Struthio camelus: one gene and its partners. The protein of the gene in region 3 interacts with the protein of the main gene of each other region in a pairwise test. Links are inferred from orthologs where the notes say so. Each region holds a gene or a part of one and is shown on either strand. Other genes may lie near its edges. The genes, in order: SERTA domain-containing protein 1-like, TSGA10 and ZNF410.

Evidence for each region.
Region 1: the proteins of ZNF410 (region 3) and SERTA domain-containing protein 1-like interact in binary tests that used the Homo sapiens proteins (3 or more experiments, as listed by UniProt). The two-hybrid records come from large-scale screens. The link is inferred for Struthio camelus from reciprocal best matches to the Homo sapiens genes ZNF410 and SERTAD1.
Region 2: the proteins of ZNF410 (region 3) and TSGA10 interact in binary tests that used the Homo sapiens proteins (3 or more experiments, as listed by UniProt). The two-hybrid records come from large-scale screens. The link is inferred for Struthio camelus from reciprocal best matches to the Homo sapiens genes ZNF410 and TSGA10.

What each region holds. Positions count from the first base shown.
Region 1 is NC_090957.1:421,750-432,019, reverse strand, and holds SERTA domain-containing protein 1-like, read right to left. Parts: upstream 4,390-10,270; 5' UTR 4,233-4,389; intron 2,400-4,232; 5' UTR 2,396-2,399; coding exon 1,682-2,395; 3' UTR 1,124-1,681; downstream 1-1,123. Other genes in the region: BLVRB (flavin reductase (NADPH)), read right to left, coding at 6,025-6,188, 6,283-6,414, 6,566-6,655, 7,417-7,578, 9,296-9,377. UniProt on the Homo sapiens protein: Acts at E2F-responsive promoters as coregulator to integrate signals provided by PHD- and/or bromodomain-containing transcription factors. Stimulates E2F1/TFDP1 transcriptional activity.
Region 2 is NC_090942.1:151,239,117-151,248,702, forward strand, and holds the start of TSGA10 (testis-specific gene 10 protein), read right to left. Parts: upstream 4,841-9,586; 5' UTR 4,778-4,840; intron 1-4,777. UniProt on the Homo sapiens protein: Plays a role in spermatogenesis. When overexpressed, prevents nuclear localization of HIF1A.
Region 3 is NC_090946.1:57,211,127-57,220,816, forward strand, and holds the start of ZNF410 (zinc finger protein 410), read left to right. Parts: upstream 1-5,446; 5' UTR 5,447-6,075; intron 6,076-8,547; exon of another isoform or gene 8,548-8,666; intron 8,667-9,690. Other genes in the region: FBXO33 (F-box only protein 33), read right to left, coding at 4,615-5,045. UniProt on the Homo sapiens protein: Transcription factor that binds to the sequence motif 5'-CATCCCATAATA-3', and is specifically required to silence expression of fetal hemoglobin in adult erythroid cells.

The DNA of each region.
Region 1 (10,270 bases), on a different chromosome or scaffold from region 3:
CCTGCACCCCCAGACAGAGCTGGGCACATGGGGGTCCTGCATGGCCCCAAACAGGGCTGGGCACCCAGGGGTCCTGCACCCCCAAATGGGGCTGCACCCATGGGGTCCTGCACCCCTGAGCAGGGCTGGGTGCCCGGGGGTCCCGCATAGTCCTGAGCAGGGCTCGGGGCGCCCCCGGCAGCAGGGCCGGCTCCGGGCTGGCGGTGCCGGAGCCTCCCCGGCGGCTCGGGGCGCGGGCGGGTGCCATCATTCCTCGGGGCTGTGTCACTTCCTCCGCGGCTGCCGGCGCCGGGCACCACCACACTCGGGGCCTCGCACGAGCCCTTCCCGGCTGGAGCCGCGGCCTCCAGGGCCGGTTTCCACCTTCCCATTCCCACCCCCCAGCCGGACTGGTGCAAAGCCCCAAGCAGTGGCGGCCGGCCGCCGAGCCGGGGTCGGACTCTGCCCCCGGTCCCCCCACAGGGCATCGTCCCCGGGCCCCGCGCGGCGCCCGGCCGAGCCGCGCCGGAGCGGCTGACTCAGCCCAGGAAGCCGGGCTCGGCTCCGCAGGCTGCCGCCGGCCTGAATCACTTCCCGTCCCGCTGCCGCCTGGCCGGAGCCGAGCCCGCGGCACCCCGGCGGCGGCGTCCCCTAGGGCAGGGGGCCCAGGTGTCCGGGCATCACCCTCCACCCCCATGCAGGGATGGGGACAGCGCTATGGGTCCAGGAATTGGGCTGTGCCATGGCATGTCCCCTCATCCTGCGAGACGTCCCCGTGTCCTGCAGCACCTCCCGGCATCCCGTGGGACATCCCTGCATCCCGCAGCACCTCCCCACATCCCACGAGACGTCCCTGCATCCCACAGCACCTCCCTGTGTCCCATCAGACATCCCCACATCCTGCAGGATGTCCCTGCATCCCATGGGACATCCCCGCATCCCGCAGCACCTCGCTGCATCCCACAGGACATCCCCACATCCCATGGGACATCCCTGCATCCCACGCACCCCCCTGCATCCCGCGGGACATCCCCGCATCCCATGCACCCCCCTGCATCCCGCAGCACCTCCCTGCATCCGGACTCAGCTGGGGGCCAGGAGAGCGGGCCCCGCGGCGGTGCACGGTCGCAGGAGGCAGCCAGGCGCCGGTCGGGTATATATTATCCTCGTTTCCAAGCAGCGCACAGTTCGCGGCAGCGCGCCCAGCCGACGTCCCCGCGGGGCCCCCACTGCCCTGCAGGTCCCCAACCCACTGCCCCGGGCAGGGGCGACGCCGCCCCCCAAACCTGCTTGCTTGAACCGTCCCTCGGCTCCGGCCGAGCCAGCGGCTCCTGCAGCTCTGCGCCCACGAGCAGCCCGGCACCGCACGGAGCAGCCCAGAACCACGTGGGGCAGCCTGGAACCGCACAGGGAGCCTAGAACCGCGCCGAGCAGCCCAGAACTGCATGAAGCAGCCCGGCACCACGCAGGGAGCCCGTCACCACACAGAGCAGCCCCCAGCCTCTCCCCAGCATCGCAGGGCTGCAGCCAGGGGTCCCGGCCCCCCGGGAGGAGGCAGGATCGCAGCCCCGGCTCCGCAGCGGTGCAGCGCGCTGGGCTGGTGCCACGCACGGTGCATCGTCCCGGTGCACGCTGCGGGCTGGCGGCACCCGCGCCGCGCGGTGCCCGGCCCGAGTCCAGAATAAGTTAAAACGGGGGCCCCTCAGAGGGCGTGGGTGCCCACCAGCACGTCCATCAGGTAGTCCAAGTCGTCCATGTCCAGGCGACCCCCGTCCTGGCCCTCCTCGTCCGCCCCGGAGAAGGCTTTGAAGCCGGCCAGGCTGGCGGGGGACCAGACGTCGCAGTCGTACATGGAGGTGTCGATGTCCTCGAAGATGCCCTCCAGGCTGTCCTCCAGCAGCGAGCCGGTGGAGCCGAGCAGCTCCAGGGGGGCGAAGAAGGGGTGCGGGGGCCGCGGGACGTCGGGCGGCGCGTCGTCCTGGGGCGGCGCGGGGGGGCCCGGGGTGCCGCCGGGTGTCTCGGCGCCCTCCAGCCCGCCCGAGAGGGAGGCGCAGAGCGAAGCGTCCCAGCCGGAGAGCAGCAGCTCGTCCTCGGGCGCCGGGCACCGGGCGTCCCTGCGGTCCGGAGAGGCGGCGCCGGGGCCGGCCGGGGGCTCGGGGCCGGCCGGGGGGCGGCCGGGGGGCACCGGCCCCTGGGTCTCCGCCGGTGCGTGGTCCTGGAGGCGCCGGAGGGTGTTGGCCACCAGGACGAGGTAGCGCAGGTTGGGCTCCACGTGCCGCAGGCTCTGGTGCAGCTTCAGCACGGAGATGTTGAAGAGGGAGTCGGAGGGGGCGGCGGGGGCCGGGGCCGCAGCGGGGGCCGCCAGCTGCCCGTCCTCCATCTCGCCGTGCTTCCGCTTCACACCCTTGGCCAGCATGGGTCTGCGGGAGCAAAGCGGGCAGGGGGTCAGCGCGGCCGGCCCGGACGCCGGGGCCCCCGGGAGGGCGCCGGAGAGGGTCGGCATGGCCGGGGCGGAGGGGCATCGGCCGCGCTAGGGGGGGGGATGAGGGTGCTTTTCGGCAGCAGAAAAGCGGCTTTTCGCCGTTCCCACGGCGCTTGGCGCTGCACGCAGACGGCAGTTGTCTTGGTGACACCACCACCCCCTCCGTGCGGGCGCCTTAGTCACCACGAGCCGAGTGAGCGGGCAGCCAGCGCCGGCCAGCCCCAGGAGAGGGCCCAGGCGTCCGGGCCCAGCCAGGTCCCCGGCAGGGGCCCAGGTCACCTGCACCCCAGCCCTGGGCTGGAGGGCTGCAAAGCTGGGACGCCGACCCCGAAGGGCCAGGACGCCCAGGTCCGCTGCGGGGACGACACAGGGTCCCCCCCCGTCTCTGTGGAGGCCTGGGGACACCCGGCCAGGGGCGTCCCAGCCTCACCCACCCCGTCACCTTCCCATGCACCCTGCTGCCCCAATACCCCCCCCGAAAGCGCAAAGCTGCTCCCCAGGGACGGGAAGGAGCCGCCTGCCGGGGAGGGGACACAGCTGTGGTCCCACGGCCCGGGAACCCCTTGATCGCGTCCCCGGGCAGGGACCCCCGTCCTCGTCAGCCGGGAGGAGACCAGGCAGCCCCAGGGCGACCGTCACCGTGGCACCGGCTCCGCAAGCATCCTGCCGCCGGCACAGCCCCGCACGCCCCTTTGGGGCTCCCCAGCGAGGATGGGGATGTGTTCCAGGTTGCCAACGGCCAGAGAGCCCCGACGGGTCCTGGTGCAGCCCCCCAGGGTGCCGCTGCCCCCTGAAAGCTCCCCGGGCACAGGGGGTGTCTGCAGGATGGCATCTTCGCTCCTGCCCCCCCACTGAGTGCCTAGGGGGAGCACGGCCCCTGCCCCAAACCCGCTGCCCTTGCCCCGGCACCAGCTGTTGGAAGGGGGCAGCTCAGCTGGCCGGGCACCCGCTGCTTCGCACCCACCCTGCAAACCGGGAAATCCAGGGAAAACAGGGACAGCTCCTGCGACCTGGGGATTTCCCCCCATGCAGACCAGGGACCCTGACAGCAAACTGGGGACCCCAAGAGCAAACCCGGGGACCCTCCACCATGCAATCCAGGGATTCCCCCCCATGCAAACCGGGGACCCCTGCAGCAAACTGGGGACGACCCCCATGCAAAGTGGGGATTCCCCCCCCCATGCAGATCGGGGACCCCTGTGGCAAACCAGAGACAATCCCCATGCAGACCAGGGATCCCCTCTCAGGCAAACTGGGGACCCCCTGCCATGCACCCCCCCGGCAAACCGGGGACCCCTAAACACGCCAGGGAAAGCCCCCCCCCCTTTGCAACCTGGGGATTCCCCCTTGCAAACGCACGACCCCTCCTAACAACCAGCCACCCTCTCCCTTGCAAACCGCGGGCACTCCCGCTTGCGAAGGGGTCCCTCGCCCCCGAGCCCGGCGGCGCCCCCCACCCTTCGCCGTACCATTGCACGGGGGAAGCCCGGCCCCGCCGCGCCGCGCCGCGCCGCGCCGCACCGCACCGGGGCGCCGGGCCGGCGTGCAGCCCCCGGTGCCGCCCCCCCCGTCCCCGTCCCGCGGGCAGAGGCAGCCGTGGGGGCGGGTGAGTCACGCAGCGGCGGCCCGGAGCCTCCGCCCCTTCCCCGGTGAGTCACCGCGGCCGGGCGCCCATGGCCGGACCCTCCGCCGCCCGCTCGCCGGGCCCCCCCGACCAGCGCGCGCCCCAGACCCGGCGCGCGGGGACCCCCGGGGACCCTCATTTACATACCCGGCTCCTCAGGGGCCAATCAGCGGGGTCTGGAACGCTGCGCGCAGCCAATCAGGAGCCGGCATCCCCCGCCCCCCTCCCCCTCCCCTCGCCGTCTCCGCCAGCCGACTCGGCCACCCGAGAGTTGCTACATCTGCCCGCCCGGCGCAGGCCACGCCCCGGAGGCTGTCGGGGCGGGGCCGGGAGCCGCTCGGCCAATCAGCGACGGAGGAAGGGAGGCTCATCTGCATACAAGAAGAGCGGGGCGGAAGCGGGGACCAACGTCGCGGCCGGGGCGGGGGAGGCCCGGCTGGGCTCGCGCCTGATTGGCTGAGGCGCGCGGGCCTCATCTGCATACGGAGAGCGGACGTGAGCGACTCAGCCCGGGGGCGGGGGAGGCGCGGGCGGCCGCGTGCGATGAGTTTGCGGGTGCTCAGCCGGGGCGGGCGGGGGCCGGGCCTGCTCTTAGCCCCCCCGGCCCCCCCAGCCCGGGCACCAGCCCCCCCAGCTGGCCGTTCCCACCCCAAAGCAGCAGCAGCAGGAGGCAAATGCACCTGGCCTAGCCTGTGGCCCCGGTGCATCTCTTCGTGGCCCCGCAGGGGCCCACCCAGCCCCACGCCCCTTTCCTGCCCCCATGGGAATCCACCCGGCCCTGCCCCTGCCCCTGCCCCTGCCCCGTCCTGGCCCCTGGGGCAGCAGCGCAGCTGTGTGGGCAGTGCTCCAGCCTGCAGGAGCCGGGGGAAGGCTAAGAGCCCAGATGACTTAAGAGGAAAACGAAACAGCACCACTGCCGCTCAGAAGTGAAACTGCCTGTCAGCCCGCTGGCTTGTGGGGTCCCCGGGCCCCGCTCCCGCTGCACCCGGCTCCCGTACTGCTAGCCTCCGGGGAGCTGCCCCGGCTGGACCGGGACCTCCGGCGCCGGGTGCGGAGCGCGCTGCATGGCCGCCCCTGCAGCCTGCAGCTTGTTCACGGCCAGAGGGACGGGCCCGGGGCCGAGCGGAGGGTGGTGAAGGACGTGACCTCCCTGGGACGAGTGCCCTGGCAGGGGTGCACGCACGCGCCGGCCCCAGGCACTCGCGCACCCGCTGCCTGTCGTTGCCCCGGGGCCGGGCCAGGTTATCTCCGCCCTGGCGGTCGCGGCTGCAAACCGCCCCCGGCGGGTCCAAGGGTCAGCGGCAGGCAGGCCCCAGCGCCGCGGTGCAAAACGCAGCGACGCAGCACCACGGGGCCGGTGGTGCAAAACGCAGCGACACAGGGCTGGCGGTGCAAAACGCAGCGACGCAGCACCGTGAGGCCGGCGGACGCGTGCCCCTCTCGCCTGGCTGCAGGAAGCCGGAGGGGAGGGATGGCACCGGCACCGGGGCGTTTTCCTGCACCGCTCCGACAGGCCCAACCCGTCCTGCCGGGGCCGCAGCCGGCGCGGCATCGGCATCGGGGCTGACTCATGGGGCAGGAGGCGGTTCACCGCGCTGGGGCGCACGCCCCGGAGACGGCCGGCCCGCGCCGGGCAGCCCCGAGGGGCGGACGGGGCTCACCAGGTGCCAGCGAGGATGCTCACGGCGATGCCGGCCGACGCCGACGGGGTGACACGGGTGCTGCAGGGGGCAGAGCCCCAGCACCGCATCCAGCACCCCGGCACGGCTCCGGCCCTGAGCCCGACCCGCTCTGCGCAGCCTGGCGTTAACAGAGGGTCAGGCCAGGCTCGGTCAGAAAAATAGCGGCTCTTTAGTCGGCGCAGGGAGGTGGCAGGGGCCGGGGAAGCCGGTGGGCGCCGGGCAGCGATGCCCGGTGGGGAGGCGCCGCGCCGGGCGCCCTAGACCTTGGGGTAGTGCCGGGACAGGTAGACGTTCTTGCCGTCGTACTCGGAGGTGGTGAGGCACTGCAGGAAGAAGTGGCCGAGGTCGTGCTTGGAGATGACGCGGGAGCCGCCGGACGTGTTCACCGTCACCGTGTAATCCCCCGTCAGCGGCTGGTCGTCTGCAGCGGGAGAAGGGACCGGATGCTCGTTTATCCCGGAGCATCTCCCCCAAATCGCCCGGTCCCCAACCCCGGCGGCAACGCCCCCACGCACCGGCGATGTGCGGCGGCATCACGGAGACGCAGTCCAGCCCCGACTCCTGCAGGATGCGGTGCATGCGGATGTGGTCCTCCGTCACCGGCAGCAGCTTGGGGGGCACCTTCTGCAGGTCCCACATCAGGAAGGCTGGGGGCGAGGCGGGGGCTCAGCACCCCGGCAAGCATCCCGGCGTCCCGGCCCCCCCACCCAGACGTCATGGGGGAGCACCTGGACGTCTGGGCTCCTTCTCCCCGATCCGGGTCCCCCAGGTTGGGGACGCCCCCCCCAGCCTCCTTACCCGACAGGCACACGACCACCTTCCTAATGCCGTGGGCCTTCATGGCCGCCACGATGTTCTTGGTGCCCTCGGACATCATGGTGGTGGGGCCTGGGTGCAGAGCGGGTGTCGGGGGGCAGGCGGAGGCATTCGGGAGCTGCTTGGGTCTCCCGGGGCAGTGGGGCTGCAGGGTGGGGGGGTCCCCAGGGTGACGGGGTCGCAGGGTGCAGGGTCCCCAGGGCAATGGGGTTGCAGGGTGCAGGGTCCCAAGGCTCACATGCTGCAGGGTGGGGGGGTCCCCAGGGTGACGGGGTCGCAGGGAGGGGGGTCCCCCAGGGCAATGGGGTTGCAGGGTGGGGGGTGCCCATGGTGACATGCTGCAGGGTGCCCAGGGCAATGGGGTTGCAGGGTGCAGGGTCCCAAGGCTGACATGCTGCAGGGGGCCCAGGGTGATGGGGTCGCAGGGTGGGGGGGTCCCCAGGATGACAGGGTCGCAGGGAGGGGGGTCCCCCAGGGCAATGGGGTTGCAGGGTGCACAGTGCCCAGGATGATGGGGTTGCAGGGTCGGGGGGGTCCCCCAGGGCAATGGGGTTGCAGAGTGCAGGGTGCTGAGGGTGGCAGGGTGCAAGGTGAGGGTTCCCCCAGGGCCATGGGGTTGCAGGGTGGGGGTGTCCCTAGGGTGATGGATTCACAGGGTGCAGGGTGCAGGGTCCCCAGGGTGATGGGGTCACAGGGTGGGGGTTCCCCTGGGGTCATGGGGTCACAGTGTGGGGGGTCCCCAGGGTCACGGGGTTGCAGGGTAGGGGGTGCCCTGGGGGGACAGGTTTGCAGGGTGCCCAGGGTGGCAGGGCCCCCCCGGGGGGTCACCGTACTCAGGTCGTTGCGGGTGCCCAGGATGATGATGACGGCGTCCTGGCCCTGCACGGCCTTGTCCACGTCGGCGGGGTTGAGCACGTCGCCCACGACCACGCGGGCCGGCCGGTGCTCGGGGGGCAGCCGTGCCGGGTCCCGCACCAGCACCGTCACCTCGTACCCTGCGCGCGAGACGGCGCCGGTGGGCGAGCGGCCGGCAGCCCGGACGCCTGGGCTCCGTGCCCGGGGGCACCCGCGCCCCGAGCTGCGCCGCTGCAGGGGACGAGGCCGGTGCCAAGGCAGGGTGCGGGGTGCTGGGGGGGCCCGAGGCCCTGGGGGGCGGCGGAGGGCGCCGAGGGGCCGAGCGCTCCCGCGGAGGTGTCCACCTCCCCGGCCCGGCCGCGGGATGATGAGTCAGCTCTGGCCAGGCGTGACTCAGCACCGCGCGCGGCGGGCGCCTGCCCTGGGCGCCGGCTCGGCGACGGGCCGGGGGGTGCGGAGCCTCCGCCGCCCCGAGCCGGCCTGTGGGTCACCCTTGGCCGGCACTTCCCCATCCTCCTCCTGGCGCAGGGGGAAACGAGGCGCCCGGAGGGGAAGCGTTTGGCCCCAGCTCACGTGCCCGGTCACGGGCCGGGCAGGGAGGAGGGCCCAGGCGTCCTGGCGCACAACCCAGGGCCCAGGAGTCCTCGGCCAGCACCTCTCCGGGCGCTTCCACCTGCACCCAGGACGCAGGGCCCCAAACCCTCTTCCACATTGCTGCGGAGCGGGGGGGGGGCGGGGGGGGGCACCAAAACGCAGCCACCCTGGGGCTGAGGAGAGCAGGTCGGAGCCCGTCCCCTTCCCGCAGGGAAGCGCTTGGGGGCAGGACACGGGGCAGGGCCGTGCCGGTGCAGTCACGCCGGCACCTGCGCTGAGTTTCCCGGGACTCAACTCCTGCACAGAGCTGAGCATTGTCTCCAGAAACGGGGGCTGTGTGGGGCTGCCGTGACGCTGTCTGTGACGGTCTTTGGCCGAGCAGGTTCCCGGGGGCTCTGCCCATCCTGGATGGGCTCTGTCTGTCCCTAACAGGCTCTGTCTGTCCCCAAGGGGCTCTGCCTGCCCCAGACAGGCTCTGTCTGTCCCCAAGGGGCTCTGTCTGTCCCTAAAGGGCTCTCTCTGTCTGTCCGTCCCCAAGGGGCTCTGCCTGCCCCGGATGGCTCTCAGCTTTGCCCAGCTCCCGGCCAGGCCTCAGAGGCACACGGTTCCCACGGACCGACCTGCAGTGCCCAGTGCCAGAGCTGGGGATCCAGCTAAGCACCCTGGTGACACCGGGCTGCGAGGGGCAGGTGCTGAGCCCGGCACGGCCCGGCAGAGGCAGGAGACTCGGCGCACCAGCCTCGTGCACGGGCTGGGGGACCGGAGCGAGCTGAGCTCCTGCTGGGCTCGGAGCCTGGCAGGGCCGGCCGGGGGGGACGGCGAGGGCAGAGCCGGGTGCACGGCCCCGGCGAGGGGCTGCCCGGCCCGATAACGCCAGCCCGGCCTTATCGCGGGCTCCCACCTGCCGCCTGGCCCAGGCTCCTGGCCGAGAGGCTGCATGTGCAACACGCGCGAGGGCAGCAGGGCCTGGCGGCGGGCACAGACACCCCGTGCGCACCAGGGCCCTGCGGGCCGGGCTCTGCCCCGGGGGGCTCCCACAGTGCCCAGCCCTGGAGGCAGGGACCACCGTGCCCTCGGGAGCCCAGGGCAGAGCTCGGCCTGCCTGGGACCCCCCTGTCGCCCACCGGCCTCCCGTTGCCGAACTCGCCTGCGCTGCGGCAGCTGCAGCTGGGGCCTTGGCGGGCGGTGGAGGGGGATTTCGGGAGGGCGAGCGGGGTGCAGCGCAGACCCCCCGCACCGGGCACGCGCCCCGGCCCCCCTTACCCGCGTCCAGCGCCTGTGCCAGCGTGGCCAGCCCGGTCATGCCGGTGGCACCGAAGATGGCGATGTTCTTGCAAGTGGCCATGGTGGGAGCAGAGCGGAGCGGCCGCGGGTGCTGTGTCCCCGCCGGCCGGGCTGTGCCGCCGCCTCGCTGCAACCGGAGCGGGGCCTCCGCTTCGCTCCACCCACGGGGCCGGCCGCCGGCGGACCGGCCCCTCGCCGCGCCCGGCCCCGCTGCTCCGGGCTGCGGGGCGCCGGGCCGAGCCGTGCGCGGGGGGAGCCGCCGAGCGCCGCCCCCCCCGGTGGGTGCACCCCGATAGGTGCACCGCCGCGATTTGCACTGCCGGCAAATGCACCCCCGCTGCGCGCAGCCCGGTACGTTCGCTCCCGGTGCGTGCACCGCCGGTAAATGCACCCTTGGGACTTGCACCCCCGGGACGTGCACCCCGGTCCGGGCACCCCCGGGGTTTGCACGCCGGTCCTTGCACGCCAGTCCGGGCACCCCTGGTATATGCACTCCCGGTACGTGTACTCCCGGTACGTACACCGCCGGTAAATGCACCCCTGGGATCTGCACCCCCGGGACGTGCACCCCACTCCGTGCACCCCGGTTCGTGCACTCCCGGTAACTGCAGCCCCGGTACGTACACTCGCGGTCCTGGCACTCCCGGTGCGTGAACCGCGGTACGTGCAGCCCCGGCCTCTGCATCCCCGGTGCGTGCATCGCCGTCCGGGCACCCCCGGGGTTTGCACGGCCGAGGGCAGGGCGAGCCGAGCCCGGGGGGCGGCAGCCCCCAGCCCCGGTTTGCAGCGGGGGGCCGGTCGCCCAGCCGCCTCCTTGCCGCCCGGGCGCGTCGCCGCTGGGGACCCGGCGGTGGCCGGCTCCTTGCTGCCCGGGGCTGGGGGGGCCCCGGCGCAGCCCCGGCGGCGGGGCGGGGGCTGGGCCGACCCCCGGCGTCCTGCGCGGCGGCGGGATTG
Region 2 (9,586 bases), on a different chromosome or scaffold from region 3:
TGTGAGACAGCTTTTTGAAAGATATAATATTAACACTTTCTAAATCAACTATTTTTATGCTTGCCATAAAGCAGATCTAACTACCGCTATTAACACACTGCTATTAGCCACCATCCTCTCAACTGTGGTACTGCACCCCCCTGCAACAGGATGCAACTTTACATTAAGACCACTCTAAGCTTCATGTAGCTCTAAATGACCCTTGCAGCAGGCTTTTTAGCATGACCAAAAGTATTAACAGTTAGTAACTTCTTTTGACTGATTTAGTACACACAGCTATTTTGGGGTTCTAAGTATTTCTGAGATTAATCATTTAAGATACTCCTCTTCTTCCACTCTTACACAGTGAGCACAGCAACAGCATCTGAATGGTAGCTTCCTCAATATAAGTAATTTATAAAGAGATATTTTTTATTTTAAATTGGCATCCCATACATCATGCAGAGCACAGACTTTTACAGTATTCAAGCACAGTATTTAATGGAATTCAGACTAAAAATTTAAAGCAGAAAAGTAAAACAGAACCTTCAAATTCAGATTACGGATTGTTTTGTCTTTGTTCTTAATCCAGCATTCCAATTTAGAAGATTTCTCACTTTTAGAAACTGGGTCTCCTAAACCAAAATTGTCTTCTCATACTGTTATCTTTTGAAAGAATAAAAAATAGTGTAATTATTTCCAGTGTTTTGGCATGTCAGTTTTGTACCTGGTGATAAAATGAATCACTTTGAAAGAGAAGAGTGATATGCTCCTACAGATGTTTGCCTTAGTATTAGTCTAAAGAAAAAACAGAAATACACTCAAAATAGAACCTTTCAGAGTATGCAGCAATCATTTAAAAAAAAAAAATTACCACTGGAAAATAAGACTGAGAATTGACTACAGCCCCAAATTATGTGAATGTGGATTGCAGCATATTAAATACATGCAATGATCTTATAAGCGTACAGAAGTGCTTGGCTTTCGATGTACTATAACATAATTTTCACTGCATACAAATATTTGAAAACTTGGGCTTTCCAGGGCAGGAAATGTTTGCTATGCTTCTGATCAACCGTGTCAAACAATGTAGTTAGATCCCAGAATCCAAAAAGAGGATGATAAAGCACGTACTATTCAATCATACCATATAACGTGGACAAACATTTTTAAAATTCATTTCAAATGTTGGTTCACCCAAACCTCGTCCTCTAAAATACTACATAGAAAATGAGTAGAAAACCTATCCTTAAAGAAGCAGCAAAAAAAAAAAAAAATCCAAAGCACTTTGAATTTCAGAGGCATAATCCTGCCTCAGGTAAATTTAATAGGATTTTATCAGGGATCGCAAAGGACTGCACTTGTATGACATACCATGTTCAAACAAAAGAGACACAAAAAACATCACAAAAGTGAATGTGACAGTATTTTCTAGTACATTAACATTTATTAGACAGAAAATCACTAAAGTCAGTGACAAAACTCATGGGATCCAACCACAGACTCGAAAAAAAAAAAAATCCCAAACCTGAATCATTCACTTTTTAAATTCAGAATCACTTGCAACAGAGACTGAACATATACAATAGGTCTATTGGTCAATACAGAATCACAGAGTAGTGGAGGCTGCAAGGGACCTCTGGAGATCATCTGGTCCAACCCCCCTGCTCAAGCAGGGTCACCTACAGCAGGTTGCCCAAGTCCATATCAAATTGGCTTTGGAGAATCTCCAAGCATGGAGACTCTACAACCTCTCCGCGCAACCTGTTCCAGGGTTCAGCCACCCTCACAGTGAAGTGTTTTCTTGTGTCCAGATGGAATTTCCTGTGTTTTAGTTTGTACCCACTGCCTCCTGTCCTGTCACGGGACACCACTGAAAAGAGTCTGGTTCCACCTTCTTTATACCCTCCCATCAGATATTTATACCCATTGATGAGATGCCCCTGAGCCTTCTCTTCTCCAGGCTAAACAATCCCAGCTCTTTCAGCCTCTCTTTGTACGACAGACGCTCCAGTCCCTTAATCAGCTTCATGGCTCTTTGCTGGACTTGCTCCAGTATGCTCATGTCCTTCTTGTGCTGGAGAGCCCAGACCTGGACAACAGTACTCCACATGTAGTCTCACCAGTGAGGAATAAATGGGAACAACCGCCTCCCTCAAGCTACCGTCTACACCCTTCTCAGTGCAACCCAAGATGCTGTTGGCATTCTTTGCCGCAAGGGCGCATTGCTGGCTCACGTTCAACTTGTCCACCAGGACTCCCCAGTCCTTCTCTACAAAGCTGCTTTCCAGCTAGTTGGCCCCAGCATGTATTGGTGCATGGGGTTATTCCTCTCCAGGTGCAGGACTTGGCCTTTCCCTTTGTTGAACTTGATGAGATACCTGTCAAGGTCCCTCTGAATGGCAGCACACCCATCTGGTGTGTCAACCACTTCTCCCAGTTTTGTATAATCTGCCTCATGCTGAGAATGCACTTTGTCCCATCATCCATGTCATTAATGAAAACGTTAAACAGTACTGGCTCCAGTATTGACCCCTGTGGTACACCACTAGTGACTGGCCTCCAGCTGGATTACAACCCTCAGAGCCAATCCCAGCAGTTCAGCTAGTTTTCAGTCCGCCTCACGATCCATTTATCTAGCTTGTACTTCCTCAGTTTGTCTTTAAGGATGTTATGCGAGATAGTGTTGAAAGCCCTACAGAAGTCAGGATAAACAAACATCTACTGCTCTCCCCTCATCCATCAAGCCAGTTATCTCATCATAGAAGACTATCAGGTTGGTCAAGCATGATTTCCCTTCATAAATCCCTGCTGACTTCTCCCAATATTGTCCTTAGTATGTTTCAAAATGGTTTCCAGGAGTATTTGCTCCATCACCTTCCCAGAGATCAAGGTGAGGCTGTCCAGCCTGTTGTTCCCTTGATCCTCCTTCCTGCAGGCAAGAGTGATGTGCTTTCTTCCCATTCTTAGGAACCTCCTATGACTGCTGTGACCTTTCAAAGATAATTGAGAAGGGCCTTACAATGGCATTGGCCAGCTCCCTCAGCACTTGAACGTGCATCTCATCAGGTCCCTTGGACTTGCAAACATTCAGATTGTTTAATTGTTCCCTAATCTGATCCTCCTCCACCAAGGGCAAGTCTTCCTTGAACGAGGCTTTCCCAGTGGTCTCAGGGACACAGGATTCCCCAATGCAGGATTTACCAGTAAAGACTGAGGCAAAAGCGGCATTGAGTACCTCGGCCTTTTCTGTCCTTTGTCATGAGGTCTTCCACCCCATTCAGGAGTGGGCCCTCATTTTCCCTAGTCTTCTTTTTGCTGCTGAGATACCCACATAAGCCTTTCTTGTTGCCCTTCATGTCCCTCGTCAGACTCAACTCCAGATGGCCTTTGGCTTTCCTAACCCCATCCCTGCATGCTTGGACAGTGTCCCTAAATTCCTCCCCAACCTCCATCTCCAACTGGTTTTTCCCTTTTTTGCAAGGATCAGATCCAGCAGAGCACCTCCTCTCATCAACTCCTTGATCACTTGTGTCAAGAAGTTGTCACCAGTGCACTCCAGAAACCTCCTGAATTGCTTGTGCCTTGCTGTGTTGTCCCTCCAGCAGATATTAGGGTAGTGAAAGTCCCTTATGAGGCCCAGGGCCTGTGAATATGAGGCTTCCTCCAGTGTCTGAAGAAGTCTTCATCTACTTCTTCCTGACCAGGTGGTCTGTGGCAGACACCCACAACATCACCTGTGCTGGTCTGCCTGCTAATCCTCACTGATAAGCTCTCAACTGGCACGTCATCCATCCCTAGGCAGAGCTCCATGCAATCCAGCTGTTCCCTCATAAAGGACAACTCCCCCTCCCCACTGTCCTGGCCCATCCTTCCTAAAGAGCCTGTATCCATCCATTGCAGCCCTATAGTCATGTGAGCTATCCCACCATATCTCTGTGATCCCACTGAGATCATAGCCTCGTTTGTAACTGCATGCCAACCTCTAACTCCTCCTGTTTGTTCCCCAGAGTACTATTAAATACTGCAAAATGAACCTGGCTGATCCTATAAAAACAACAGTAGTTTTCACAATGCCTTAAAGAATGCTGCTTGTATACTGCAAAACATACTATTTCCTTTAAAAACAAAGTATGTGTGTATGTATAAACGTATTAAAAAGCGATATATGTAGCAACATGGTGAGCATGTGATTTTTACTCGGGACCAATGAATTCTGATTTTTCATTGAAAAATTGTGCATTTTGCCAGTACAACACTGAGTGTGCAAAGACAAGCATATATACATGCCTACAATTAAATATCAAACAAACACTTGCAAAAAAAAAAAAAAAAACCCAAAAAGTGCGATCATCTGAAAACCAACCAAACTGTGTCTCTAAGAAAACACAGAAAACGAAACAACGCTCCTCCCAGCCCTCTCGTCTTGTTACTTGGCGGTTCAATCTGCCATCACCACGGCAGTTAAGACCCTCTGACTCTCAGGCGGCCTCCACTTCGCTGCCTTATAAACTACCTGCTGAGGTTTTCGTCCCCAGCGTTGCGGCCCTATCCGGTGTAAAAACCGGCGGTGCCTCTCGCCCTCGCGAGAGGAGGGACGGACGGAGGGTCAGGGGCAGGCCTGCAGGAGCGTTTCCCGAGGCCAGCCCCACCGGGTCTCTACCTTGCGGCGACCCTCCACGCTCCTCCTCCGGCGCCCTGGGGACCGCCGGGCGCTCATGGCGGCTGCCCGGGACGGGCGAGGCACCCGCGGCTCCCACCGCCCTGCCCGGCCGGCCGGCCGGCACCGGGCACTCACCCGCCGCGCGCGCCCAAGCTGCCTCGTCCCTGCTGGCCACGGGCGGGGGCGGGGAAGGGCAAGGGGGGGCGGGGAGGGGGAGGGGAAGGAGAGGCGTCGCTGCCCAACGGTCGCGCCCCGCGCCGCGGGCTGCCGCGCGCTCGCCCAACCGCTCCTGGCAGCCCGCCGCCGGCGGCCGCGCGCGCGGGCGTTCTGTGCCCCCTCCCCCCCGCCCCGACACGCGCGCGCCCTCGCCCGCCGTTAACGGCCCCCAGAGAGCCAGGCCGGGCCGGGCCAGGGCCGTAGCAACGGTGCCGCCTGCTCCCCCGCGAGGCCGGGGGGGGGGGGAGCAGTGCGGCCCCGCTGGTCCGGCCTCACGGGCTCATTCCCAAAGGAAGGGGGAGAGCACAGCTTTGACAGAGCGCGTAGAAAAGGGGCAAGAAACAACGGAAAGGGTTGGAAGGGGGCAGAAAGGAACAGAAAAGCCTTAGGTAGGAAAGACTGATCTTCTGAAAACAGCCTTCCTTTAATTAAATCTTCTCTCCAGAACCCATCTCATAGGTATTTGTAAGATATATATACCAGTTGTATGGTCCAGAATAAACTATTGCTATCTTTAACATTACACCTATGTCATGATGTCGTCAAGCATTAGCTTTGCACGTATGATAAAATCTCAGACGCAGCTCATTGCTGCTTTTAGGATACTTGGTGCTAAGACTAATTTATTAACTCGTATACCAACACTGCAAAGTTGGAATGTTAAGGCATTACAAGGCTAATCATGTTTATTCTTTATCTCACTAACAGAATCTTATGAAAGAAATGATTTCTTATGTTCTCTTATACCCCAAGACAGGAGTTCTACTTTACAACACCTCTAGCACATCTCTTCTTGGAATAGCGCAGACGGGAATGAATAAAGGCTCTGGCGCCTTTAAAGAAAGCGAAGTGACAAGGATAAGGAGGCTGTTTGAATCCTATGACTCCTATTACCTGCTCCTGTCTGCAATGGTTATAAACATAAGAGTCCTTGAAAGAGACTCAAAGACGGTCTCAAAGTCAAGCTGATAGGCTGGAAGAAAATGTTCTCCCTTACCTATGACGTACTAGCACAGATTTTATATTCTGGAGACAGCGCCTAAATTTTAGGCAAGCTGCCATCAGGAAGTATTCACAGAAAGAGCTCATACCTTTTTGGAGAAAAAGGGATAGTAATACCTTTGAAATAGGACCCACCCAAAGACAGGGAAGAAATTGGAAGGTTTGAACTTCCAGAAAACAGCAACAGAAACAGTCCTCTTCGCATCTTGTATTCCTTACAGGTCTTACTTTCTGACCTTGGTACGCTGGAAATCATCGAGAGAAGACTCTGCATTATCTAATATTTATCTCTGAAAGAAAGATAGCATTTCAGATTTTCATAACCTTACCCAAACTCTTCCTCATTAAAAATAATTTTAGGAGTGAAATTATGTATGTTTAGTTAGTTTTGTTTGGTATTTCTGTGTTTTTCTCTAAGTGATGTATGGTGAATTCTCTTGTAAACATTAACGCTGGCTAATGCTGTTAGCAAAACAGTTGTGTTGCTTTTTATGCACCAAACTAGTAAGTCTAATAATATAATCTAATAGACTTTCTATTTCAAGACCTATTATTTGGCAATCTATAATGCAATTTTAACATCGATAAACGTTTCCTATTATGTAGTTCTCTGGCAACATGTTACCACATACACTGAATTCCTACAGCATCCTACGTTAACTTCCCATTGTTTATTTTAAGGTATTTGGATAATATTCTGAAATAAAATATTCTTCTTAGAGATTAAAAACTCAAGCATGGAGATTTCTTCCTTCCTTATACTCTTTCTGTTCCTGTTCACAAATTTGTACTTTCTGTTTATTGCTAAAATACTTTATTTTGCTGGGTTGGTCCTCAACAATACCTACTTTTTCAGGAACAGTATTTGTTAATGCATGTGCATTTTATCCTTCAGCATATGAGAAACAGGTCCAGGACATTTTTAAATGTTCAGCTAATGTCCTGCACACTTTACGTTTTAGCAAATTCTAGTTCTAATTAAGTGAAAGAATTCCATGGTTAGGCCCACAGTTCTCAACTTGAGAAACAAGGAGTATGACAGCTGAGAGTATGCTTTTTAGTGACACCTCATGGCAAAATGGAAAACAACATACTGCAAATTTCCAAAAGTTAAGTGCCAAAATGTAAACAAATGCTCTGGCATTTTCTTTTTTAGTAACATCAAAAGTCCCACAAGATGCATTTCACTTCCTCTGACAGCATGAATGGATCCAGGCTCATTTTTGCATTCTGCTACCTGCCTCAAATACTGATTTCCCAATATTCTGAGCACTAAAAGGGAAGTATTTGTATAGACAATGTCCAAGTGCTTTTTGCCCTATGCATTATAGAGTAATTCACCCCAGTGCAAAGTTGAATTGCCACCAGCCTGATTTACTGACAAGTTATGCCCGTTTTGAATGGCTCAAAACAACTACTTCTTTTTTAAGAAAACCCACTAACCATCACCGACACATCAGGGCATCATGATCTTACTGGCTGCTTTCAACATGCAGCTGTTGACCTCTTGGCCTCAATTTGCTGCCCTGAAGCATTCCTTATAGCTGTTGTTTTCTGGAACTGAAGACCCATTCTGAAATTACACTGGACATATCTATTCACAAATTCAAGTTCCTAACAGCAACTCTAGTATTAATGACTTTCTTGCTACAGAGAAAGTTCACATCAAGATGCTTGCTTCCATGTTTTGACTGGGGCTATGTATCCTAATTACATTCTAATTGAAGAAGAGTATGGGGACTTACCCACCTCTGACATTTGTTTTTAAAGGATGTATCCAGAAGAGGTACCAACGCAGTGAAACACACTGTGGATCTTATGGATTTTATCCTTAAGATATCCATACTCTTTGCACTTGAAGAAGCCCAAATCCCATCTAATCTGAGTTCATAAATAGTACACTGGACCTCATGTGACTAGAGCATATTTCTTACAGTATAACTTTGTGACATTGTTAAAAGTGCTGGTAAAATTATTAGACCAACATCTCTGTAAGTCTGCCTCACCATGCTGCATCCGAAGCGAGTATTTATGCCATGCCAAAAACAAGGATGTACATGTAAGACATTCAGTTGTGGCTTGGAAGGTTCATTCACCCGTGTGTCATCTAGTGCGACGCCAGATTTCTCAAGGGATATTTAATACTTCACTGCAGTGCATGGATCTGACCAGTGTTCTAGATGGAATACCCTTCTGCTGCTGCTTTCAACAGAAAATGCCAGTCCTTCTGCTCGAGGCTAGGCTCTGTTAGATGCTTTTTTAATCCTGTTGTCAAGGTTGATGAGTGCTTCTCTACACTACCAATTATGACTACTCTTCAGAAGCAAGGTGTGACAGGGCAAGAATCATCTTGTCAACCCGTACCAGCCAAGGCACAACTGATTTCAGAATCCCCCACAACCAAAACAGCTGCCTTCGGTTTTAGATATCCTTACTGTGAGCTCTCCAGGTCAGAGCATGAATTTTAGATGTCTTCTGGATCTACAAAGTATTTGCCACCCCCTAAATGAAAAATATTTTAGTCAGCACTAGAAAGAATTTATCATGCAACCCTATACCACTAAATGAGCTAGAGTCTCGGCATTGTGTTTGTGAAAGATGATCTCTTCTTCTTTGCCCATACTGTAGATAATTGGCTGAAGCTGGACCTCTCAGTGCATCAGTAAAGGTCCATTTGGCTGTCTTTATAAACACTGCACTTATGTGATAATGGGTTCTTTATCTCACCCTACTACACCTATGCACTTCTTTTAGGAGTTTGGTAAGGAAAGTTCTCGCTCTTAAGGATCCAGTTCTCTGGCAGGAAATAACTTCAAGCTTGTATCTTTAATCTTGAAAGCCTGTCACCCTTTGTCTGCTTTTTTCTCCTTTACCTTTCAGCAAAGACAGCTGTTCTAGTATTGTTACTTCAATTAGACAGTACAGGCAATTTGGGCTCCATTATAAAGTTTTCTTTATTGGTAAAGTCACCATATGAATACCCAATTACATACCCCAACTCAACTGCTTCCTCAAATGATTTCACTGTTTCATCCGAACAAAAACATGAACGTAGTGTTTTTTCCCAAGTCACCTATTTCTAGAAGTAGAAAGAAGAAAGATTACTTGTCTGTAACCGGTCTTCAAGAGGAATCACCTGTGTGAATTCTCATGACCCAGTGCCCCAACCTTTCTCCTCTACAATTCCTTCATGTCTTAGGACTCTAGCGTTGAAAGGAAATGACACAAAAGCACGCAATACCTCCTTTGTGAATACGTATACACCACCTGGAGGTGTGCAGCACAGTTTTGCCCATATGGATACCGACAAAAATTTTAATCAGTAGTACTGAGAATAGGCCTACTGGGTAAATCAAATACGGACAACAGCTCTGGAAGAACAGTTTAGGCTAAGGTCTGGGAGACTTTACGAATGGCTTAAATCAATACAAATCTGAAGACAATCTGTCGTCTGCAATATGTCTTTAATTATCTCGCCTTTGTTCGTTTCCAGCTCATTCACCAATTATGCCATCAACATTTACTTTCTGTATCTCCCTGGATGCCTTTTACGTACTTGACAGGCCTCAGTGCATTTGTGAGAACGCGTTCAAGTCTCCCTTTGAACTTAGGGTGAACTTATGGATGCCTCTAGCACCCGCAACATCCTGTGGCAAGAGACTGCATCGCCGCGGGGTCCAGCGCAAAGAACCATCTGCTTTTATCTGTTGTGAACCTGCCTCCTGC
Region 3 (9,690 bases):
CTCCGCCCACCTCTCCAGCCTGTCCAGGTCCCTCTGAATGGCAGCACAGTCTTCTGGTGTGCCAGCCTCTCCCCCCACTTTAGTATCATCAGCAAACTTGCTGAGGGTGCACTCTGTCCCTTCCTCCAGGTCACTGATGAATACGTTGAACAAGACTGGACCCAGGACTGACCCCTGGGGGACACCACTAGCCACAGGCCTCCAACTTGACTCTGCGCCATTCACCACAACCCTCTGAGCTCGGCCATCCAGCCAGTTCTCAAGCCACCTCACTGTCCACTCGTCTAGCCCACACTTCCTGAGCTTACCTAGGAGGACGGGATGGGAGACAGTGTCCAAAGCCTTGCTGAAGTCCAGGGAGACAACATCCACTGCTCTGCCCTCATCTACCCAGCCAGTCCTTCCGTCATAGAAGGCTATGAGCTTGGTCAAGCATGATTTCCCTTTGGTGAATCCATGCTGACTACTCCTGATCACCTTCTTGTCCTCCAGATGCTTAGTGAGGACCTCCAGGAGGAGCTGTTCCACCACCTTGCCAGGGATGGAGGTCAGGCTGACAGGCCTGTAGTTTCCTGGCTCCTCCTTCTTGCCCTTTTGGAAGAGTGGGGTGACATTGGCTTTCTTCCAGTCCTCAGGCACCTCTCCTGATCTCCAGGACCTTTCCAAGATGATGGAGAGTGGCCTAGCGATAACATCCGCCAGCTCCCTCAGCACTCTTGGGTGCATCCCATCAGGGCCCATACACCTTCCTATCTTTTTTTGCTAGCAGCTAGAGGAAAGGCTATACATTAGGATTTCACAGTTACACAAAGAAGGAACTCAGAAATTTCCTACTGCATGATCCGTAGCTGCTTATTAGCTCCTGTATACACTGAAACGACTCACGGAAAGTTTATCACCCTCCTACCTGCCATTAATTTAGAACTTAGTTCTACAAAATCAGTTTGCGAAGGCACAGATGACCAGGATTCCCCCAAGAGCCAGTAAGAAACAACTTGTTCCTCCAGATCCTATTACAACACTTTTCAATAGAAATATAACTAGAATACTAATAGCTAAACAATAATATACTTTTTCATTTTGCTGCATTTGCTGTCATAAAGGCAGCAGCTCAAACTTATTAGCCAATGGAAGAGCTACTTGGAGATCACTATAAGCATTAATGTAATATTTTTAAATTAAAGACATCGTTGAATTCTAGAGGTTGGCCAGACCCTCTTGGTTATTAAAGCAGCGCTTTGGAGCAATATGCTGTCAGTCACAAAACAAAGTTTGTGGTGACTTAAGCTCTACCACAAATATGAACCAGATCTAGAAAGTATCGTCTTGGATAACTGTCAGCAGCAATATTTGTCAGAATACTACTAGTGTTTTTTTAACTATTTGTCTGCACTTAGTTCAGTTCCTTAAATCCTTCCCGTCAGAATTAGCAAAGATTGCTCAGAAATATTTTTCAAGAGACTTAACGTGCAGATTTCTAAGCAAAGTCTGCAACTGTATATTGTACAGAAAGCAAATACTTTTAGTAGCAGAAATATACATCACCATCATCCTGTACAAAGCAAGTATCTAAAAGCTGCATTAATTTTTATGAGTAGTGTGACAAGTCTTGCCTTAGATCCTTCAGTACTATAAACCGCCAAGGAGTCTTCTGAAGAAGATTTTTTCTTGAAGGGTGGTGGTGATGTTGTTATTGTATTGTTTAATAGCAACTTTATAAGCCCGCAATAAGATTACATAGTTTAAGAACACCGCGCAGTTTTACAAAATTAGATTTCTTGTTAGCTCAGCTCTTAAGTGTAAGAGGGAAGTTCTTTCAATTTCTCTGCCAAATAGCCATAAGACCTGACAGGAGTTATGAAAGAATCATCCTGTTTTCAACTTAATTCCAAAAGGAATGCATTTACTCTGATTCAAGTCACTAGAGAGGTTCCAAAATAACGGAAAGAGTTTTTTTTAAGTTAAATGGCTATCCAATGTACAATGACATACTGCAAACATAACAAGGAATATTATATTCATCTGTAAGACAGGGATAATCACAGAAGCACGGAAGTAAAGGCTGGATTACAGTCTCATTCCACAGACCAGTGGTATAGCTGAAGAGAGTACAGGTGTCACCAGACAGACAAAAAGAAGCACCAGGTAGGGCACGCCTTCAGTTCAGAGACACGGTCACAACAAGAACCAAACTGCAATTTGGCATAGGTTAGTATTCCTTCCTACCTCATTTCAATCTTAAAACTCTACTCGTTAAACTAAAAACAAGTCTTCAATGGAGAAGTATGCAGAATAATCAGCTACTGGTAGTTACCTTGCAAGAAAAAAAAAGGTGGGGGGGAGCATCAAAAATAGACTAAAGCTTGTCTATTCAAGAGGAAAAAAGGAGTCTATGCAGAAAGTAATTTTGAATAGAATGTCAAGCGTTTAAAGTAAATTCTGCCCCCCCCCCCCCACTCTTCAATTGCTCATCAAAAAATGCCTACTGTAATAACCGGGTATTCTGTGTTCCCCAGTCATAAATTATTCATTTCAAAACAAAAGAGCAGAATGCAAATGATTTGAAGACAGAAAGAAAATACAGTAATGCAAAATCCTGTCAAAGCTGATAACTTTTTACCTGTATCTTACCACTAGAATTGTATTAATCTACTGGAGAATAGCTACTGGAGAATCAATTATTTCTACTAAGTATTGTACAATAGTCTTCAGCAGTGAAGTGCGTACAGAATCTGCAAAAATACCTTTAGAAAACAAGCATCTTCATACAAGTTTCTGAAAAGGTCATGAACAATGAATCTTTTTCAAAATAAAAAATATATTTAAAAGATTGTTTGCAATGCATTTAATTTTGACAGTCTCATACTGTAGTGATACAGAGGGAGTAAGAAACGTCTAGTTTGTCCAATGAAAAACCCAGGTAATAGTTTCTGGAGATTGTTCACTTAAAAATTCCACGTTCGCGTCACTGTATTTGCCTTGGATCTGATAAGTTACCAACACCACTTCACCATTTTTCACTTATGACACGAGTGGGATTCCCCACAAAAGCAACAGTTAAACAAAAGCTTCTTAAAGGCAGAGCAGCATTATGGAAAGGCTAACGAAGACAGACAATCACCATTCACGCACAGAGGATTCACACGGCAAAAAATAAATTATACACAAAAGTGAGCCTGGACCAATGACTAGTTTCCAGAAATACGGTTTGCAGCTCTCAATCATCACAGTTACACCACAGGATTGGCCTGCTAGGCACAGCACAGCAAAGGAACTGAAAGTGAGACCTCACACATCACATTTACATCCATCTAGAACAAACGAGGAATTACATTTAAAGGTCTTGCTTCTTTATTTTGAATTGTAGCAAGAGAAAAGCCTCAAACTACTCTCTAATCCCTCTGGAATCAAAGATGAGCGGGTGGCCATACCATGATGCAACTGCAGAGCTTTCCCAACAGCCATCCAGAAGTTCTAACTTGGTCTAAAGACACCCCAAAATATTTGCAGCCTATTTTCTAGATAGGTGGAACTGTATGCATGCAGAGGGGAAATAACATTAGCCATTTCCTATCCCGAAATCTGCATGGCTTTCCAAACGCATCATTACCTAACTGTAATAAATTCTTGCTTTCCTGTCTCAGGTGCTGCCTAAAGGCCATGTACTACGACGATCTCTGAACAGATTTAAAAAAAAAAAAAAAGGTCTTCACACGCACATAAGATAAAGAGCATGTAAGTGCTTTAATTCTAAAGAACTCCAACCTGAGGAAATTAAGTATCTTAGTCAAAATAAATCTGTGAAAGGGCAGGGCAGAAACACATCTTAAGTCCAAAGCACAGGAAAAAACTTATTTAAGTTTAATGTGCTTAAGACAATCCTAAATGAAGGTTTTGCAATAAATAAAAACTTTATCTTGTTTAAAGCCGAAGCAAATCTCAATTTACCAGGTAACACAAGAGCTGGCATGGAAACTCAGTCTTCAAACAGCAAGATCCCTCATGGCTGGAAACGTTAAGTATTTTAATAAGAGCCGTACTTCCTTCCTCTCCCTCCAGAAACACATCACCAATACTACAACCTTAACCCTCCCACTAATTTTTCCCAAGTTTCATTTTTCTCAGTCACACAGAACTGGGCCAAAGAGATCTCCTGTTTCACGCCAAATCCAAATTCCCAGTGTGAAGCGCTGCATCTGAGCTGCATTTCTCTTTCCTTAAAGGAGACAACGAAGCTTTCATAGTTTCGTTTATGGCTTGTGCAGCCTAGCTGCCTCCCAAATAAACTTCGGTACTTATATTCGCCTTAACGCTACGGAAAAGGGTAAGGAGGAGGTTACTTCCCACAGCACGGCCACGCTTCGGCTCGGACCGCAGCAGCTCAGCGAGTCACTTCTGCAGGCTCCGCTTGTTTTCTGAAGCCCCAGCAAGCCCCCGTCGGGGCAGAGACGAGCGCTGGACTCCCCCCGCCGCCGGCGGGTGGCCGCGGCGCCGGCCGCTGCCCCGCGCGGCCGCCGCCGCCTCCCCGCCGGCCGGGCAACGGCCGCCGCCGGCCCCGCGGCGGGAAATCCCCCTCAGCGGCGAGGGGCCGCCCCGCCCCCCGCCCGGCCCTACCTGTTGTTGCGGACGCTGCTCAGCACGCACAGCACCAGCTCCAGGTAGGTCCTCAGCAGGTCCAGCCAGCGCGGGCACAGCGGCGGCGGCGGCGCCTCCCCGTCGGCCGCCGCCGCGGCACCTTCGCCCGCCCCCCCGCCGCCGCCGCCGCCGCCGCTGGGGTAGTTGTCGGCGGCGAACTGGACGCGGAGCTCGCGCACGAACCAGCCGCACTTGCGCATGAGGAACTCGAGGCGCGGGCGCTCGGCCGGGGAGACGCGGAGGCTGAGGCGGAGGCGCGGCCAGAGGGCCGGGTAGAAGAGGCACTCCCGCCAGTGCGAGCAGGCGGCCGAGGCCCGCAGCCGGTCGGGCCCCGCCAGGAAGGAGAAGATGTGCACCACCAGCTCGCTGGGCAGGGAGCCGGCGCCCACCGCCTCCCCGCACACCGACATGCCTGGCGCCGGCCCGGGCCCTGCTGCTGCTGCTGCTGCGGCAGCCACAGGCGGCGGCGGCCCCGGCCTCGCCTCCGGCTCCTGCGACAAAAACAACAACATCAATGACAAGGCGGAGGGGGCGGGCGCCGGCCGGGACGCGGCTACTGCCGGGACGCACCACCCGCGCCGCCTCCGGGGGGGGACGAGAGGCGCAGCGGGCCCTACCCACCGCGCCGCGGCGGGACCCTACCACCGAGCCGGCAGGAGAGGGTGAGGTGAGCGCGCCCGCCGGCACCGATCTCGGTTCTCGCGGGGCGAGGCCGCCGCGCAGGGAGGCGGAGCCACCCCCGGCGGGGGGTGGAAGGGGAATGGAACATACCACCCGTTCGAATGGGAGGCGGAGCCGGACCAACCGCCTCGGCGGGGGGCGCGGCGCGGCGCGGCGCTAACCCCTCCAGGCCCGCTAGCGGGGCGCCGCCTCCCCCCGGCCCGCCCTGCGGCCGTGCAGCGCCGACGCCTCGATGAGGGGCCGCCGCCGCCCTCCGAGCCGAACGCGAATTGGCCGGGCTGGGCCGCCGCGCAGCGCGCCGCCAAGGCCGAGCGGCACCTGGCCGTCTCCGAGCGGCGCGGCGCCTGGCGGAGGAGCGCCTCAGAGCTGCCGGCGGCGGGAGAAACTTCCTTCCTCCTGCAGGCTGTGGCAGGGCGGGGGGGAAGGAAAAGGATTTCGATTCATGGCAGGCGCTGGTACTGCTGCCTGACCTCACGTTCCGATTTCAGCCAACAAAATTACCTCAACAGGATGCCAACCCTGACTGCAGAAAACACGCTGACTGTGCAGGAAATGCTAAGCATAGCGAAGAGTTGACTTGTGATGAAGGCTGGATATGAGCCTGCACTGATACGCTAGCAAGTGGTCCAGTGTCCTATTTTGAAATCTTACCCGTTTCTTAAAGCTTGCCGGCTTTGTAATGCCCATTCCGACATGACGTGCAGGAGCGGAAAGATACTTGTCTTGTGCAAACAGACTCAGAAAGATTTCAAAAATCTGGTAAGTATTCATTCTGCAAAGGCTGAACATCAAAGTGAATTTAATCTCAATTGTTCATATAAGCTTTATGAATTTACTTTAAAACTTTATTGAAATAAATAAAATCCAGTACTGTCTGTATGTTATTATAATACAAGAGTTTACATAATACTGTATATTTGTTCAGAAATGTACACACAAAACAAAAGATGTGCTAAGAGACATAAAGCCTGTTGGCATTCAGAATATGGCATCACATTATAAACAGACTTATGAACAGCCAGACATACAACATATCTCTCCATTCACTCCATCTTCCATCACTTTCCCTGTCTCGCAGTGTGTGTGGGGGGGAGAATAGTATCATTTTATTTCTTGAATCTGTTCACAGGGGAAATAAATTTGAACCTCCTGTTTCTCTTTTATTAGAGATAAGCATCCCAGAGCAGCAGAAAGTAACATTATGGGAAATTCCCAGCTGGACAATTCCTCTCTGGTCAGGGACAAGTGCTGTTTCACATGCTTGTGTGAATGATAAGAATCTGTATAAATGACTCAGGGAAGTACTGCGCAACTATTACTGCACATTTCCCTGTCAGATTAAGCCCTCAGGTCCTCAGGCAGTAAAGATGCAGGAGATGGAAAGTTCTGAAGCATCTGAACTCATCTGGCTGAATTAAGCAAATACAAGGAACTTAGTCTCCTACATAGTTCCATATTTTAATATGTGCCCAACAACCCTACGTTGCTGGGCTCATAATAAGTCAAAGGACTTCCAGGATTACCAAATATCTTTATCTTAATGTAATCTGTAATCAAGTTTTACAATTCATTACCTGAGATTACTGACGTGATATCAGGACAAAATGGTTTATGAAGCTACTAGTTCTGTGTTTCTGGTTACCTTTGTTAGATGATACTGGATCAGCAAATGTGGCATGCTGGGGTCATGCCTCTCATAAGACAGGCAGCTTGCATGGTCACGTACTCAGCTTCTTCAGCTTACTGAGGTTATGCTAAAAATTAAAGCTCAGTAGCTCATAACTTCAGTTTTGTAGACTTGAAGTGAATAAATGGGTCTGTTTCAAGCTTCAGGTCATCTCAGCTATAACTAAGTGTTCGATATTATAGTACCAGCCTTTGTGAGGTCTCTGACCCCATCCCTTTGCATGGCCACTATGATGCCAAGACAACCAAAGCTATAAGGCTGCCAATTGGGGATGCTGAATCAGTTTTCTCCACCACTGACATCAGAAACGTACTTTAGCTTGACTGAGAATTGATTTCAAGGTGCAGGCTTATGTGAGTACTAATGCAGTGACTGCAAACTCATGGTAAATATATAGAAAAAAAGATTAGCCAACTTGCTTGCAGACTTTTAGGAAGTTACTGCTCAATTCCACCAGATAGCTGGTCAAGGGTCTTTTTATTGAGGCAAAGTTCTTAGCCCTCCATGAGCTGAACAGTTAGACCTGAGGAGCAACCACTGTGGATCAGAACTGAGCTGTGCACACAACTGAGTCCCAAGTAACCAGGCTCTGCCCGCCTCAGCAGCTCCCACTGGCTGGTTTCCACACAGCTGGGGATTCTAATTACTCAGCAGCGCAGACGCCAACACAGGCCTGCCAGTGCTCATTCAGCGCAACTCTGGCACAGGAGCCAGGAATCGTGTGTTTCTAAAGCTACAGAATACCTATAGCCAAGTTAAAGTTTACTGGACATGAAGGTCACCAGTTCAGCAGCTAATGTCAAGACGAAAGGCAGTAAACAGCGCTGGTTCAGCAGCTCTATCCTGCTAGCCTAGATATATGAAGATAAGGCTAATGAGGGAAAAAATGAGGTACAGGCTTTGGCAATTATTCACTCAGCCCCTTCTTCTTTGTTAGGTGCATTGTTAAGACACGTTAGGTTTCTGAGTTTACCAACCTGATATGCTTCACTTAAGGAGCTGCTGTGAACTTAGGAGTTCTCCATGACCCACTGCAAGAAGTTCACTTATAATTTGGAGCACAACATAAATGCAAACTAAATACTAACGGGAAACTAGTGCTTTTGCATGTGCTGTAACAAGCTGAAATAATGTCTTTTGTGATGATTTATATCGAGAAAAGGTAAGTGCAGCACTTAACAGTTGAACTTGACTGCAAGCTTCCTACCTAATCTGCATCTGTAAAAAATCTGTCAACTCGAAAGGGTACTTTAAGATGAATCACGGAGTAAACACCGCAGCCCTGGTGCGGGTCCGAACGGAAGCGGCAGCTCGCTAGCGAGGACCCTACTTGGGAGAAAAAGCAGAGCGCCCAACTGCCGCTCCGTTGTCCTCCAGCGGCCAGGGAGGCGGCGCGGGAGGCGCTCCCGCAGCGCGGCGCTCAGGGCGCCACACACGCGCCCACTTACCGAGCCGACACCGGCCCTCCCGGGGCGGCCCGGCAGCCCAGGCGACACCTCCCCCCTCCCGAGGGCCCGGCGGCGGCGGCCGGAAGTGAGGGCAGCGGGGCGGAAGGGGCGCTCCTCGCCGCGCTTACCATAGAGCTGGAAGGGTGGGGCGAAACCCCCAGCCCTGGCATTTCCGGTTCGACACTGCGTCACATCCGGGAGGCTCTGAGATGCCGGTAAGAACCGCGGGGGGGGGCCGGGGCCGCCTCCCCGGGACTCGCCGCCCCCCTGCGGGGCACCGGGGCCGAGCAGGCTGCGGAGCGGGGGAAGGGCCGGCCTCCCGAGTGGGGAAGGGGCGATCTCCCGGGTGGGGAGGGGCCGTCCCGTCCCGTCCCTCGCGGCGGCGCACCGGCCGCGGGGGGGGGGAGGGGCGGCGCACCTGCCCCGGGGGGGGAGGGCCGCTGCCGGGCCGCCCCCCCCCCGCAGTCCTGGTCCGACCCGCGGCAGCGGGGCCGGTGCCCGCCGCCCCCCCCTCCCACCCCGCGGGGCCCTCCCCGTTGAGGCGCCGGGGAGCCGGACCTGCCGCCCCCGCAGCCTCGGCCCGCGGGGCGCCGCCATGCCGGGTGCAGACTGAGAGAGGGCGGCGGGCGAGCGAACGGGAGTATCCCCCAGCCGCGGTTTCTGTTTCCTAGTCTGATTTATTCTGTTCTCGCTGTGCTTACTCTGTTGTCGCTAGACGGCTGGCAGAGGGTGAGGTCCCTGTACTGAGCGTGTTGCTCAACCTGCTTGTTGGGAGTGCTAGGGGAAGGCTTTCAAGTTTAGGTTTTTTTTTTTCTTTGCTTATACAGTATTACCATTATGTTTTGGAATTGATTCAATAGGATTTGTGATTGTGATGCAAGGAGAACTGTAGTTTGCTTCCTTCTCCTGTCACTAGCCCTTTCCAAGTAAGCAAAAATGAGAGCAGACAAATTTATTTTTCTTTGTAGTCTAAAGAAGAAATGTATTATATAGGTAGCATGTGTGTATTTGTGAAATAACTTTTTAAAAAGAATTTATGTAAAAAGTACCTACCCAGCTGTGCTCGTGAAGAAACTTCTGACAATCAGAAAATAGGTGAACGTCTTAATACATAGGGAAGGCAGAGGTTTCTTCATGACAGGTTGTACGTATATGGGTGTCTTTCCTCAACAATTTGGATAATCCTGCTGCTTTACAGGCTGGGAATTCAGCCTCCTTGTCTCTTGCGCATTTCATGTA